2 linked regions of the Caenorhabditis elegans genome follow. The protein of the gene in region 1 binds, or shares a complex with, the protein of each later gene. Each region holds a gene or a part of one and is shown on either strand. Other genes may lie near its edges. The genes, in order: sdc-2 and sdc-1.

Evidence for each region.
Region 2: sdc-2 (region 1) and sdc-1 share a complex: the UniProt entries of both Caenorhabditis elegans proteins name them as parts of the SDC complex.

The regions. Positions count from the first base shown.
Region 1 is NC_003284.9:11,520,613-11,525,795, forward strand, and holds the start of sdc-2 (Sex determination and dosage compensation protein sdc-2), read left to right. Parts: upstream 1-2,094; 5' UTR 2,095-2,126; coding exon 2,127-3,245; intron 3,246-3,290; coding exon 3,291-3,526; intron 3,527-3,971; coding exon 3,972-4,190; intron 4,191-4,240; coding exon 4,241-4,394; exon of another isoform or gene 4,395-4,452; coding exon 4,453-4,518; exon of another isoform or gene 4,519-4,561; coding exon 4,562-5,112; exon of another isoform or gene 5,113-5,158; coding exon 5,159-5,183. UniProt on the Caenorhabditis elegans protein: Component of the SDC complex that functions in sex determination and in X chromosome dosage compensation specifically in hermaphrodite (XX) animals.
Region 2 is NC_003284.9:16,274,161-16,281,931, forward strand, and holds the start of sdc-1 (C2H2-type domain-containing protein), read left to right. Parts: upstream 1-1,602; 5' UTR 1,603-1,612; coding exon 1,613-1,686; intron 1,687-1,847; coding exon 1,848-2,080; intron 2,081-2,523; coding exon 2,524-2,759; intron 2,760-2,800; coding exon 2,801-3,096; intron 3,097-3,149; coding exon 3,150-3,480; intron 3,481-3,706; coding exon 3,707-3,889; intron 3,890-4,077; coding exon 4,078-4,316; intron 4,317-4,473; coding exon 4,474-4,859; intron 4,860-4,991; coding exon 4,992-5,125; intron 5,126-5,867; coding exon 5,868-5,930; intron 5,931-6,028; coding exon 6,029-6,268; intron 6,269-6,496; coding exon 6,497-7,372; intron 7,373-7,770; coding exon 7,771-7,771. UniProt on the Caenorhabditis elegans protein: Embryonic transcription factor regulating downstream genes involved specifically in the sex determination and dosage compensation pathways, or regulating other genes involved in the coordinate control of both processes.

The sequences.
Region 1 (5,183 bases):
GAAACAAATCTTTCGTCAATCTCTATGCTTGGTTGTATAATCTTCGTGCGCTGACAATGTTGCCATGGAAATTTATCTTTCTCCGTCTCTCTTGAAAAAATAATGTTTTAAGCCAAAAGTGTTTTTAAATAATTAATTAAAATCATCTATGAAACCAAAAACAGGTCTTTCAACTCTTAAGATGGTCGTCTTTATCAAAAAAGTGTCTGGAAATGGCAATGTGTATTTGGTATTTGTAAGTAAAACGCCAACCGTAGGAAAAGGGTTTAAATCATTTCCTGATAGTTCTGAAATATTTGAATATCACAAAAAAAGTAGAACAAGCTGAAATTGTTACTAATTTGGATATTGGAAAAAAGTTTTCACGATTTTGTAATTTTTTTTAGCATGGCACAAAAATTTTATAACTTTCGAAAAAATGGAGCTCCTAGTGCTCCTAGTGTAGCATTTACACATTATTGGCAATTTTTAACGGAAACCTCGAAAGGCAAAAAAAACTATTACAAATTGAAGCATTTTCAATATGGATGTTTTTCTTTTGAAATGGTTTAGAAGGCAGCTTTCACAATTTTCAAAAATTTAAGGCATTTCGGTTATAATAATGTGTTGTTCACATAATGTCTCTGGCGCATCTCTACTTGTAAGATCTATTAGTTTTGTATCACTGATAGCCCTGCACTCAAAACGACCCATAAAAATAGTATTGCATGAAAGTTATATTATTATTAAAATGCACTACTTAAACTGTTTTACTTATAGTTTGATTTTAAAAAATTCCTGCTGTTGGAACATGGTCTTTGAACAACCTATTATTAAAAAATATAACATATATTCGATGGATCAGTTAAAATTGTTCAAAATTATTTGTTACACATACCCATTATGTATTCCCATTGATAGTATGCATCTTCCATTTCTCCCGTCAACATAATTGTTCATAAATTTTTCTAAATATCGACTCATGCACAGTTTCTACGCGACTCAACCCCGTTTTGTATGACGTAAAAATCATCGATTGTCCAGCCGGCTGTTTAGATGACCGTTGGTCATCACTGCATAGCGCAACGCAAAACGGCAGAGGTCAGAGCTGCGGTAACGACGCGCTGTTCACGGCATTATAGAATTTGGCACATTCGAAGATGAAGACAATCTGCAGTTATTGTACATATACTTATTAATTTGACTTTTCCTCTTATCGGATTAGATGCCTGAGCCCTTTCGATAATTATACCTAAATCACTTGTTTATTCTGTACCTTACTTTAGTTTCATTTTTATTAATATTGATGTTATTTTGCGTAGGAGTTTTTGCTGAATGTTTGTATGAAACTTCTTTCAACATATGTGTGATATTTTCCTTTTTTCCTCTAGCTTCACACTTTTACTTTCGAATCGAAAGTATACGACATTTGTACAAGGTTAAACTTTACGCAGAGTTTCTTATCAGAATTGCGCGTGACATTGACGTTTATACAAAGCTAGAAAAACTTTAGTTAAATTATTTATCCTAAACATATTTTAAATTTATTTTATCCATATAACTTTAAACGCAGCCTCCGCTTTCTTATTGAGTCTCCATGCCCCTGTCACAGTTGTGTATCCTTGTTCTCTCTACTCTCTCGTTTTCCACACAGGTTCAGTCGATGTCTCTTGGGTCTTCTCCTTTTTTCCCACTCATTCCTATCTATCGTTTCTTTGCGCTCTCCACCATGGCTCTCTCCATCCAGTTCGCAACATATTAAACAGAAAATGGAGACTTAGAGAAAACAGGACTGGTGAAACCAAGACAAAGTAGGGAATAGTTCACAAAGGTTAAGGCATTTGAATTCTAAATTACCAATAAGTATCAATTTTTGTTTTTGACTACTTTTCTAGATTCTGTTATTTTAGGCTTCAATCTCTTCATTATTTTCAAAAAAATTTTTTTTCAATCTCTTCACTATTTTCAAAATTAATTCTTTCAAAACTTTTTTTTTGTTGAAAAAATTCAAAAAGCTTACCATAACACATTTAATTTTAATTTTATTTTTCTGCGACAGCCCGTTGTCTAAAAATTTTTTCAAGAACCTTTCGTTATTTTCACTAATATATTATTTTTCAGAATCGTGATTTTCTCTTCCGGTACTTATGAGTGATGAATCAGAACTAGGAAATCAAAGTGAAATGGAGTCATTCAACGAGTCCGATTCTCCAGATGAAGCTGATCCAGACGTTGTTATCATCCATGACATAGTTCATCTACGTGCAAGTACTACAGGCGACTATAGTCAATCAGAAATTGGGAAACTTCCCGAGCAAAACACGTTTTTCTTACCTGGAAGAGTTAAACGCAACATTTCATCAAACGACTCTGATGTCATTATTGACGAGGATGAGATACCAGACGGAGCAATCAGAATTACTTCAGATACTCATTTCATTGGATCAAGTAGAGGTACTAGTGAACTCGGAGATTTCGAGATGGATGAACAGGAATTTTTGAATATAACAATAGAAGAAAATGGAAACGAACAGGAATTAGAAGAACACTTGCGCAACGCATACCGTCATGAAGAAGAAGAGTGTTTTGAAGAAGAAGACGATATAATTGAACTTCCTCCTCTACCTGTAAAGCCAGCTGTAAAGAAACCTCGAAGAAAACTGCCAAAACATCTGAGTATAGAGAGTGGATCCACCGCAAAAACATCAAAACTGGTAGCAGAAGTTGTTCACGATCACCCAAGACCTGTCAATTATCGCATGAAGCCAGCTGTAACTGATGATGGTAAAGTAGTTGAACAGAAACGGACTCGAGTGACACGTAACATTATGTCACACACAATTCCGCAGTATCATTTGGAAGGTGAAGAAACTGAGTTTGGAAGAGTGAAAGAATCTACTTTATCAAAAACGATCGAACAGTATCTCCAAGCTGGCAAACTTGTTTCCCCAAAGTGCGACCAGTTTCGTGAACAAATTGTAGCAACTGCGGTTGAATACGATGGATCTGTGAAAATGTTGCAGTTTGAAAATGCATTGAAGAAACATTCCGGCAAGCAAAAACGCCTAAAATATCAAACCGGGTGGTGGAAAGCTTCTAAGAGTCATTACGAGAGAGCAGTGAACGGTTATGTTGCAATGCCAAAAACCCCAGTATTATCAATTTCTGATGATCCAGTTCTCTACAAACACCATTCACTATTTCCCAAGAACCAATCTTCAGAACTTGAAAAAATTAATGTTCAACTGCGTATTCGTTTAAACTCGGTAAGTAGTCAATTATTTATCTGAACATCTCAATTCTTATTACAGAAACGGCAAAACAATGATGTTATCCCCGACTCATCTTATTTTGTCAGAGAGTTCCTCATGCAGAAGCATTCAATTTCGCTTCGTATGAACCGTTCATCGGATCTTCCTGAACTCTTCGTCCCTCCAACTTTGGAATGTGGATATTTTCCACAAGATGCCGTTACAGTTCAACAGCAAGAGCACTACTTGATGATGCGTTTTGAAGAAGCTCAAGACGAATATCATAATATAACCTAGTAAGTTGAGCTTCTAAAAATATAGTTTTTATTTGAACAAGACGAGAACAAAATTATTCGAACATTTGAATTGAGACTGATAAATAACTGAAACACACACAAATGTAGCTTTAAGCTGCAATTTTTTTTACATTTTCTATGGCAACGCGTGGCTTCTTTCTCTTTAATTTTGTTTCTATTCTGAAACCGTTTAAAGATGAAGTACGCTCAGTTGAGAAATTATGAACACCTTTTCTATGGTAGTTAAAAATCCAAATATCATAAAACCTTCTAAAAAATTTTGGAAATTTATTTATTTCGAGTCGGAAAGTGATGAAAACTGAGTTTGCGACAAGTTTTAAAAACTCTAAAGCGCTATCGCTTGCTCAAAGTTTTATAAATATTGTTTTCATCTAAAAACAATCAGAAATATCATCAGAAATATATTTATAAAATTTATTTTCAGCCGCAGCATCGCCCCTCCCGTTGAATTTCAAGTTGGAACAATATCGGCTAAAGAGCTTCACAAATTTCATCGTATTGGCCGTCATATTCATGGATTCTTTGTAGTCTGGGAGAATAAGTTTCCTGAATATGATGAAAGTGGAATATGCTGTCCGAGAAAACGTTATTTGGTCGATATGTTTAATTTAATATGTTTCCCACTTTACACGGAATACGAACAGTAAGTTTTTTGAATCAAAGTTTTGTACGTTTAAATTTGAAATTTTGCAGGTGGGAAAGTAGACTAAGAGTCGCATTTGACAAGACCATTGTTTATAATCTACATCTTTCTGAGATACTTCGATGCAATCGCCCGGTTTTCGATTTTCTTTCAAAGAACAAATCAATGCTCCAACCAATCACTCTAAAAGAAATTGTTTATCTTGTAAGTTTTAAAAGTTACAAATTGCAATTTTTATTATAAAAAGTGTGTTCCATTTCAGATCGAGCAGTCAAACATGGATGCAAAATCTTTTGCTGTAAAGTTTGGATTACGGACCTTTTACGATGTAAGCCACAAACGTCAAACTGTACCTTATTATTTTCTTTCAGCACGGTCGAGCAACCAGTAATAAAGACTATCTATCAGCTTTTCTAATTATTACCGGTGGAGCAAAAGTCGTCACAGAAGAAATCGATTCTGAGCGTCTAAGAGTTTTCAATTCGGATTACATGGAATCGGGAGTTCTGACGTCATCGGGAGATGTGTACACATTTGAATTTGACAAAATACCAAACAACTATCAAATTTCCATTGGTTGCAATGCTGATGGAGTGGCTGAAATGGAACAAGAAGATGTCAGGCATGAGCTATCAGAATGTTCTTCTAGAATAACCAGAATAATTGGTGATTCAAAAAAACCAGAAAAAATTATTGCAAGGCCCCTGGTAAAAACAAACCAAAATGACGGAATGAAGTTCTTTACACGGAAAGATTTACTTAATTACCGCATTAAACTGTACGATCCAAGTTACGTTGTTCCACGTGCGAAAAAACAAATTGTCAACGAGCCTGCAAAGAAAAAGCCTGGAAGAAAATCGAAGACAAGATATGATGCAGCAATGCAACAAAACAATTTCGAAATTGAGGGTGTACCTTCCGAGTATGTTTATCCATTGCTCAAAAATTGCCTTATGAAATTTTTTCAGCGTCGACTCCGAATTTGAAGGATAT
Region 2 (7,771 bases), 4.8 Mb from region 1:
CCCACGCTAGCCCAAATTTTGTCGGCAGCACATTTCGCATATATCCGCACTCTCACATCTTATTTTTTAAGTAATAAGGGTACTAATATGCTCTTACGTAGTGAATGGAGATTTCCTTTTGTACATAATTATGCACTGCTCCCCACTACTAAATTTTGGATGGCTCATCAAGAGATGGGCCAAAAATAATTTCAAACTCACTGAAAGTGTCTTTTCTCTATTGAGGAACACAGTATGTTGTTATTAATAAATTTGCTCACATTCTCCGAAATAAATGTGAATTTGTTTGCTTCTGTTCTTCGAAATAAAGATCAATATATAATGAGTGCTTATCACCTCCGTTGTTGTCTAGTGGTTAGGATTTATGGCTCTCACCCATAAGGCCGGGGTTCGATTCCCCGCAACAAATTTTGTATGGCTAATCGAGGGCCAAAAATAACTTCCGATTAACTGAAAGTGTCTCTTTAGGATTTGTAAAATTTTAATGTGAGTTTTTCGAAATTCAAAAGAGAACAATTTTCTAAATCAGTTGAAGGAGGACTAACGGTTCGGACAATTTTGAACGTATAGACTCAAAATGAGCTCAAATAAACGAATTTCGTAATGAAGCTTCTCAAAAAAAATTCCAAAATTTTGAACCGCCATAAAAAAGTTTTGAAAATTTTTTGAGCAGTTTCATTACAAAACTCGTTCATTTGAGCTTATTTTGGGTCCATACGTTCAAAATCATCCGAACCGTTAGTCCTCCTTTAAGGACATATCTCTATTTTAAAATTATTTATCATGTTTCTCATTAAAATCAATATGTTTTTGGGAAAAGTTCAATTTTTAAAGTCACCGAAAAATGAAAACGAACATAATTTTGGAGCCACATATGATATATGGGTCTTCGAAAAACTTTCTGTTTTAGAGTTCCTATTTTTGAACAAGAACCCATTTTGAGGTACACAGTATGCTGTAAATGTTAATTTTGCTTACATTCTCCGAAATAGATGTGAATTTGTTTTCTTCTGTTTTTTGAAATAAAAATCAATATATAATTACCGCTATATGACCGCCATAAATAGTTTTGTAAAATCATTAATAAAAATTTCATTACCAAATTTGTTCCTTTCAACAAGTATTGATTTTATACGTTCAGAATACCCCGAGATTTCCCGTTAGTCATTGTTTCATTTATTCCAGAGTTGACCTGATTGAACGCACGCAACGCACTTTTTCTCTCTCGCCACACTTTGGAAGTGAGAGACGCAGCAAGAGATGTCTTCTCTGCCGTGCAGTGTTGTCGTGAAAAGGACGACAGAAAAAAGAGTGTGTGGAGGTGAGAGGGTGGGAGGGGTGTGAGACGGTTGTCCGTAAACACTCGCGCAAAAACGCGGGAAAATTTTTCTGGAGGAGGCCGTGCTGCACAGGTAAAAACCTTTTTAATTCGATCAAAACAATTTTATAAATTTGTTCGATTGGATTTTTCACGGAGATTTTTCCGCGGTGCTTTTATTTTTTTTTTGATTTGCTGTTATTGTTTGAACTGACTTCTAAATTTTGATCTCTTTTACTTTTCGATTCTATTTCCCTTAAATGACAATTATAACTTTGGAACATTTTCAGCAGTATGTCGGATGAAGAAGATATAGATGAAAGCTTTGAAATCGAAGAGGACGGAATTTCAATCACAGATGCCAGAGGGTAAGTTGTTGTTGTTTTTTTTTTTTTTTTTTTTATTTCCTTGGTGGCTTGTCCCAATGTCCAGTAGGAAAAAAGGACATGTATCATTATAAAACTGTTTAAAAATTTTCACATTTCCAAAGCTTTCCAAGCCCTAATTAATCCAACAAATTCTTGTTTAGAAACAGTCTGAAAGCGCAACAAATTGCTGGTAAAGAACGAAATTTGGATCCAGAAGCCGATGATTTGGAGGTAGTCGTCAATTTCTACGAAGCAGGCGACGGAACATTCCAACTACAACTGCCCAAACTAACAGCTGTGAAACCAGTGGATAAAGTCAATGATGTACTGGACTTTATCAATTTTGACAAGAAAGTATGCGATGGAATCCATTCATCAATCAAATTAGTTTCACGTAAGTTTAACTGCATGGTAACTAGAATTAATTCGTATTGTTGGTTGCGGGACAGTAGTAGATTTTTGCCAAAACCAAAAATTAATTTAACCGGGTTGAAACATTTTTGAAAAATATTTTTACAAAGTTTCCAGATGTTGAGAATTGAAAAATTTACCTACGATTTTTTTTTCACAAAACCTACGATTTAAAATAATTTTTTTTAAAGCTATTTGGAGTTAGGGTGTCTCATTTCAGTGTGATCTACTTAAATCTACACACAATGCGGGAGTTGAAACGCAGAGTTCTCAACCAATTTTGCATAGTTAAGAACGTGTTGACGTCACACTTTTTGGACAAAAAATTCCCGTATTTTTTTTAGATCAAACCGTGATGGGGCAGCTTGACACTACGTGTATACATAAAATCCATTATTGGGCCTTACTTTACTATATAATTTTCAGAACGAGATCAGACGGGACCAGCACCGTTTCCGAAGCATAAGCTGACGTGCGCCCATTGCGACTGGTCGTTCGACAATGTGATGAAGCTTGTCCGTCACCGAGGTGTTCACAAGAATGTGGGAGTCTACATGTGTCAAGTGTGCCTCACACTGTTTGGACACACCTATAATCTGTTTATGCATTGGCGGACATCGTGTAGCCAGACATCGACAACTGCCACGGATATCGAGATACAAGTAAGCACAAGTTGGTATTTTGAAACTAATGAATCCCCAAGCTCCAGAAAGCAGAAACGCCGTACCTTCATCGCAATGTGCTCAATGTTTTGGGCTCACTGAACCGAGCGTCGCAATACTACTGCACTGGTGGTTATGTATTTCTGCCGTCGGATTGGTGCATCACAAATAAGGAAATTGTTATGGAAAAGGATCATATGTCGTCGTGTCATTTATGTCACCTGCCTGTACCAAATAAATTTCTCGAAGCTCACGGAAATGTGCATCGGGGGCGATTTCGAATCGATGGACGTATCTACGGCGACTACTTTTGTCATATTTGTGGAACAGTTTTCATGTAGGTTTTTCGACATTTTTTTTCAAAAAATTGAAAGAACACTGAAATTTCAGAGAACAAGATAATCTATTCAAGCATTGGCGTTTGCATTGTGAAGAGGTTATTGCCTACACACCAGTCGACCAATATCTATCAAATACGGAGCTCGCCACACTCGCTTGGCTCGTCCTTCAAACGACAATCTCACAAGCCGATATTGAATGCTTGAGGGTCAGCTCGTCGCTGATCACTGAAAAATTGGCAAAAGAGCACGCGGAGAGACACGGAATCGCCAATAGTATGCACAAGTATTATCACTTTCCACAGGAGATTTGGCCCCTCAAAACGTTTGTCAATTTGGATTTGGTTAATGATGCGATTCCGATTTCAGGAGAAAATTCATTTGTGAGCACTTTTTTTCCATTTTACTTTGAGATTTGTATTATTTTCTAGCAAAACATTATTGGCGGGTCGTTTTAGAACCTATTTTGGAGGCAGGTAGGCACGTTTTCAGGGCCTACCGAAAATAGCAGATTCTGAGCTACGTTGTACATACCTACTTGCCTACTTTCCTTTCTGCCTACCAAAATTTTTATATTTTTTTTCACTGAAATTCAATCTTTTTTTTCAGAAGATAAAAGATCCCAAACGCCCAGTGCACATAATGAACTTGCTCGCTACGGCGTGTCCGGGCTTTTACGCAACAGGAAAGACGTTCAACATGATTTGCAGTACGAAAAAATCGGAATCAGACACGAAAAAGGTGTATCGCGTCATATTGAGATATACGACAGAGGGATCCGTTATTCAATCGGTAATTTGATTTGTGCTTTTTTTCGAAAAATTTTTTTCAGATTTTTCAGCACTTTTAGCTAGACGTTTGGGTATTAGCCAGTTTTAAGAAACTTAGCAATGATCAAACTTTTAATTCAAAATTTTGAATAATGAGAAATTTATTGGAAAGCTTTATGATAATCCAAATTCACTTTTTTTTTCTTCCAGTACGATTTCACGGCTCGCTCATTCCCCAAACTCCGCGTGGACTCGGAAACGCCAGAAGGTGTTTTTAGCCATCCGCTGGCCGATTTCAATGTGGAATCGAACGAGGCGATCGTGTGTCACAAGTGTGATAGTAAAAAGTTGACAATCACGTTCTCGACGGAAGTACGGTTGAAGTATCATCTGCTTCGACATTCGGAGTCACGAAAAGACGGTTATCATTGTGCGATTTGCAAGATTATGTGAGTTTGTATTGAATAAAACAATGTTGATTAGTTTGAGAGTGAGAATTGGATTTTAAAAATCTTCACAATTTTTCTTTATTTTTTGACCACTTCCGAATTGGCTAAGTAATTCCAACAGACGGTAAACGTTTGCATAAATGAAAGTTAATTTCAGAGTATACAATCGTAGTCATGAGGAGCACTGGATCAATGATTGTATTCCGCTCCAGAAATTGTATAGAGATCAAAAGGACCGAGAGTGCTTCGACGCAGAATTTGCTGCAAAATGTGCGAGCATCATAAAAAAGCTCAGAATACGAACATTGATTCGATGGAAGGAACGAGCGAACGAGGACTGGGTGGAGACGAAGCAGACGCCTGATCGTATCGGAGAAGATTTTGCTATAAAATTCCAAGTTGGTACCACTGCTCTGAAGACGCTGATGGCCGGGCTCGAGGAGCATTATAAAAATGCTCAGGCTAGACATGAGGCGTATAAGTACAGCGAGGAAAACTTTTTGCCGCCACTTTCGACGCCGGTCGTTGTATGCTTTCATTGTGGTAAGTGGCTCACCGTAATAGGAATGAAGAAAAATACAAAAAAAAGTTATTCGATCTTTTTTGTGAAAATCTGAAAGTTTAATTCTCTTCCTCTCTCTCTTTTTTAGTTTCTCCTCAAAACACCTTTTTCAGGCACCCGCTGTCATTATACGCTACTTCACGACCACCTTGATTATTGCCACTATTGGCCGCGTAACAAACGATTAGTCAATGAAGAATTTCATAAATGGAAGAAGAACGGCTGTCGAAATACGTGGCGAGTTATGGTAAGGGAGATTATTTGTGTTCTAGATATTATTAATTTTAATGAATTTAATGAAAATGATTGAAAACAATTTTTTAAAGTGGTGGGAGAAAGGTGTATGCATTTTTTTGGTTTTGCCACAGCTTTTAATTTTTCAATTATGTGCATATGTTTGAAGGCGGTTAATATTCAAAACAGGGGTGGGCGGCAATTGCCGTTCTGCAAATTGATTTGCCGACAAATTCTGCAAATCGGCAAATTACCGGTTTTCCGATTTGCCGGAAATTTTTAATTCCGGCGATTTTCCAGTTTGCCGATTTGCAGGAAATTCTTATTTTTGCCAAATTGCCGGTTTGCCGTTTGCCGGATATCAGATTTGCCGGAAATGTTTAGAGGGATTTTTCATAAGACGGAAACACTTAAAACTGTCTTTTCGAAAATTTTTCCGTTTTTTCTATACATTTTCATAGAATTTGCTTACTTTTCAAAATAAATGTAAGAAGATCATAGGATGCGTTTAATTTTGCCATTTGAAATTGAAATTCTGAAATTTCCGAAAGAATAAGTGCGAAACCACAGTTTGCCAAAATTTTTTCGCAAATTCGACAAATCGGCAATTTGCCGATTTGCCGACGTGCCGGAAGTTTCAATTCCGGCAATTTTCCGGCGTGCCGATTTGCCGGAAAAAATTGTTTGCCGCACACCCCTGATTCAAAAGCTTAGCTCTTTTTTTGGTTAACAAACTTAAATATATATTTTTTCAGAAAAGTGTAGCTGAAGCAATGCAAATTGAAGTGCCGTTCATATCTGAGGAGCAATACTCAAAGGTACAGTTTTTGGGGAATAATTTATCAGTATAATGAACAGAAAATAAAAAAAATAGCAAAAAATTCTGAGGTTCATATTTTTCAATGATCATTTCCAGATACTCGACTACCACACCTACTTTTGCAACGACACACGCTACAAGGTTCAGGACTCAATCAACAATTGGAACGATTGCTCAACAATTCGAGACGTTGATTTGTCCGAAAAACTTTCAGTTGCTGAAATTGTGCAAAAGGGCGAGGACTCAGTGATGGCTCCAGAACCTGATATAATCAAAAATGTTTACTTTCCGTCTGCTCGTATTATTACAGATAATATGCTGTTGCGAATGACAGAGGTATAGAATTTTTTGATCATTTTTTAAAATAGTTTTTTTTAGATAGACGATACGATTTTAAATATTTTTCTAGTAACAATTGGTAAATTCTGAGATTATAGCGGAATTAAACCTTTTTTTTTAAATTTCCTAAGAAACTTTTTAAGAAGGCACACTATGAAATTTACCTATTTGGTGCCTATCTGAGTAAAATGAAACCAAAAAAATATATACATATACACATTTCAGATAAACTTGAATGATGTCGTGCAGCGAGACCCAATCACCAAAGAGGAACTAACGGGAAAATTCAAGGAAGTTCAAGACGAGCAAGACGCGATTCTGTTTGGTGACTACCGTGCTGTTTTGCGATCGAAGGGTATTATGGTCAATTCGATTTCGGATTTTGTTGCTCCTCCAGATGAGCTTGCGAAAGCAAAAGCATCCCAGGAGTCTGCTGGTCAAGAAAGTGTGGATCATAGGAATCGAAGGGAACGAGAATTTATTCAACAGTATATGGGTAAAGATCTGGCACTCGAGGCGGCCGCCCGCGAAAATGGGAGACTCGTCGAGGTTGACGAAGAGGCGGAAGATTATGAACTGACTCCGAAGGAGCTCAACGCTCGAAGACTCGTCGAACGGAATCGTCACCGAGAGATGTGCAAAACGAGGTGTGAGCATGGCGAGTATGACTATGAAAAGTTCAAGGCGAGGCAAGTGCCCATTAATCCGGCAAAAATGAAGGAGCGGAAATATCTGACTCGTGTGGTACACGAGAGCGGCCCGGATGATGATGTGTGCCCAGATGAGCCGGAGAATAACATCATCGCGTTCTCACCAAAATATGAAAATTCGCTCAGCGACTTTCGCATAAGTGCAATTGGTTTCCGCGAAAAGTATTTGGCGGACGATAAAAAGAAGAGAAATGGAATTCCGATTCGAAAAATGACTGAGGCTCAGAAAGGTGTTGCGCTAGACTACGATACGTTGATGGCGCGACACGGAGGTCGTCCCGACGTGATAATGAACCCGGCCGGAACTGTTTTTGTGGGAGGATTTGTGTTCGATCGGAAACCGACGTGCCAGGATAACATGCAGACTGTTTATGTTCTTCGTAATGGCTATGTGAGTTTGAAAAGTTTAAGTAATGTTGATTTTGTTCCCCGGTTTTTTGAGACAAAATTTGACTGTCACGAGGGACAGGCAGAGAAGTATAATAGAGAAGTGAAGAAAAGCGGAATATTGAGCCTCGATATAAGACAGTCCCTCCTAACCACGTGGTGTCAGACTGCTCCGTTGCGGTTTGACCTACAAAAAATGCGGGAACGTTTTGCCCAAAAAATGTGACGTCAGCACGTTCTGAACCATGCGAGATCAGTTGAGCCCAACTGTGCTTCTCTACTCCCGCATTTTTTGTAGATCTGCGTAGATCAATCCGAAGTGAGACGCTCTGACACCTCGTGCCTAACTATGTAGTTCTGAATTTTGTGAACATTTAGATTTTTCACACAATTTTTTTTCAGG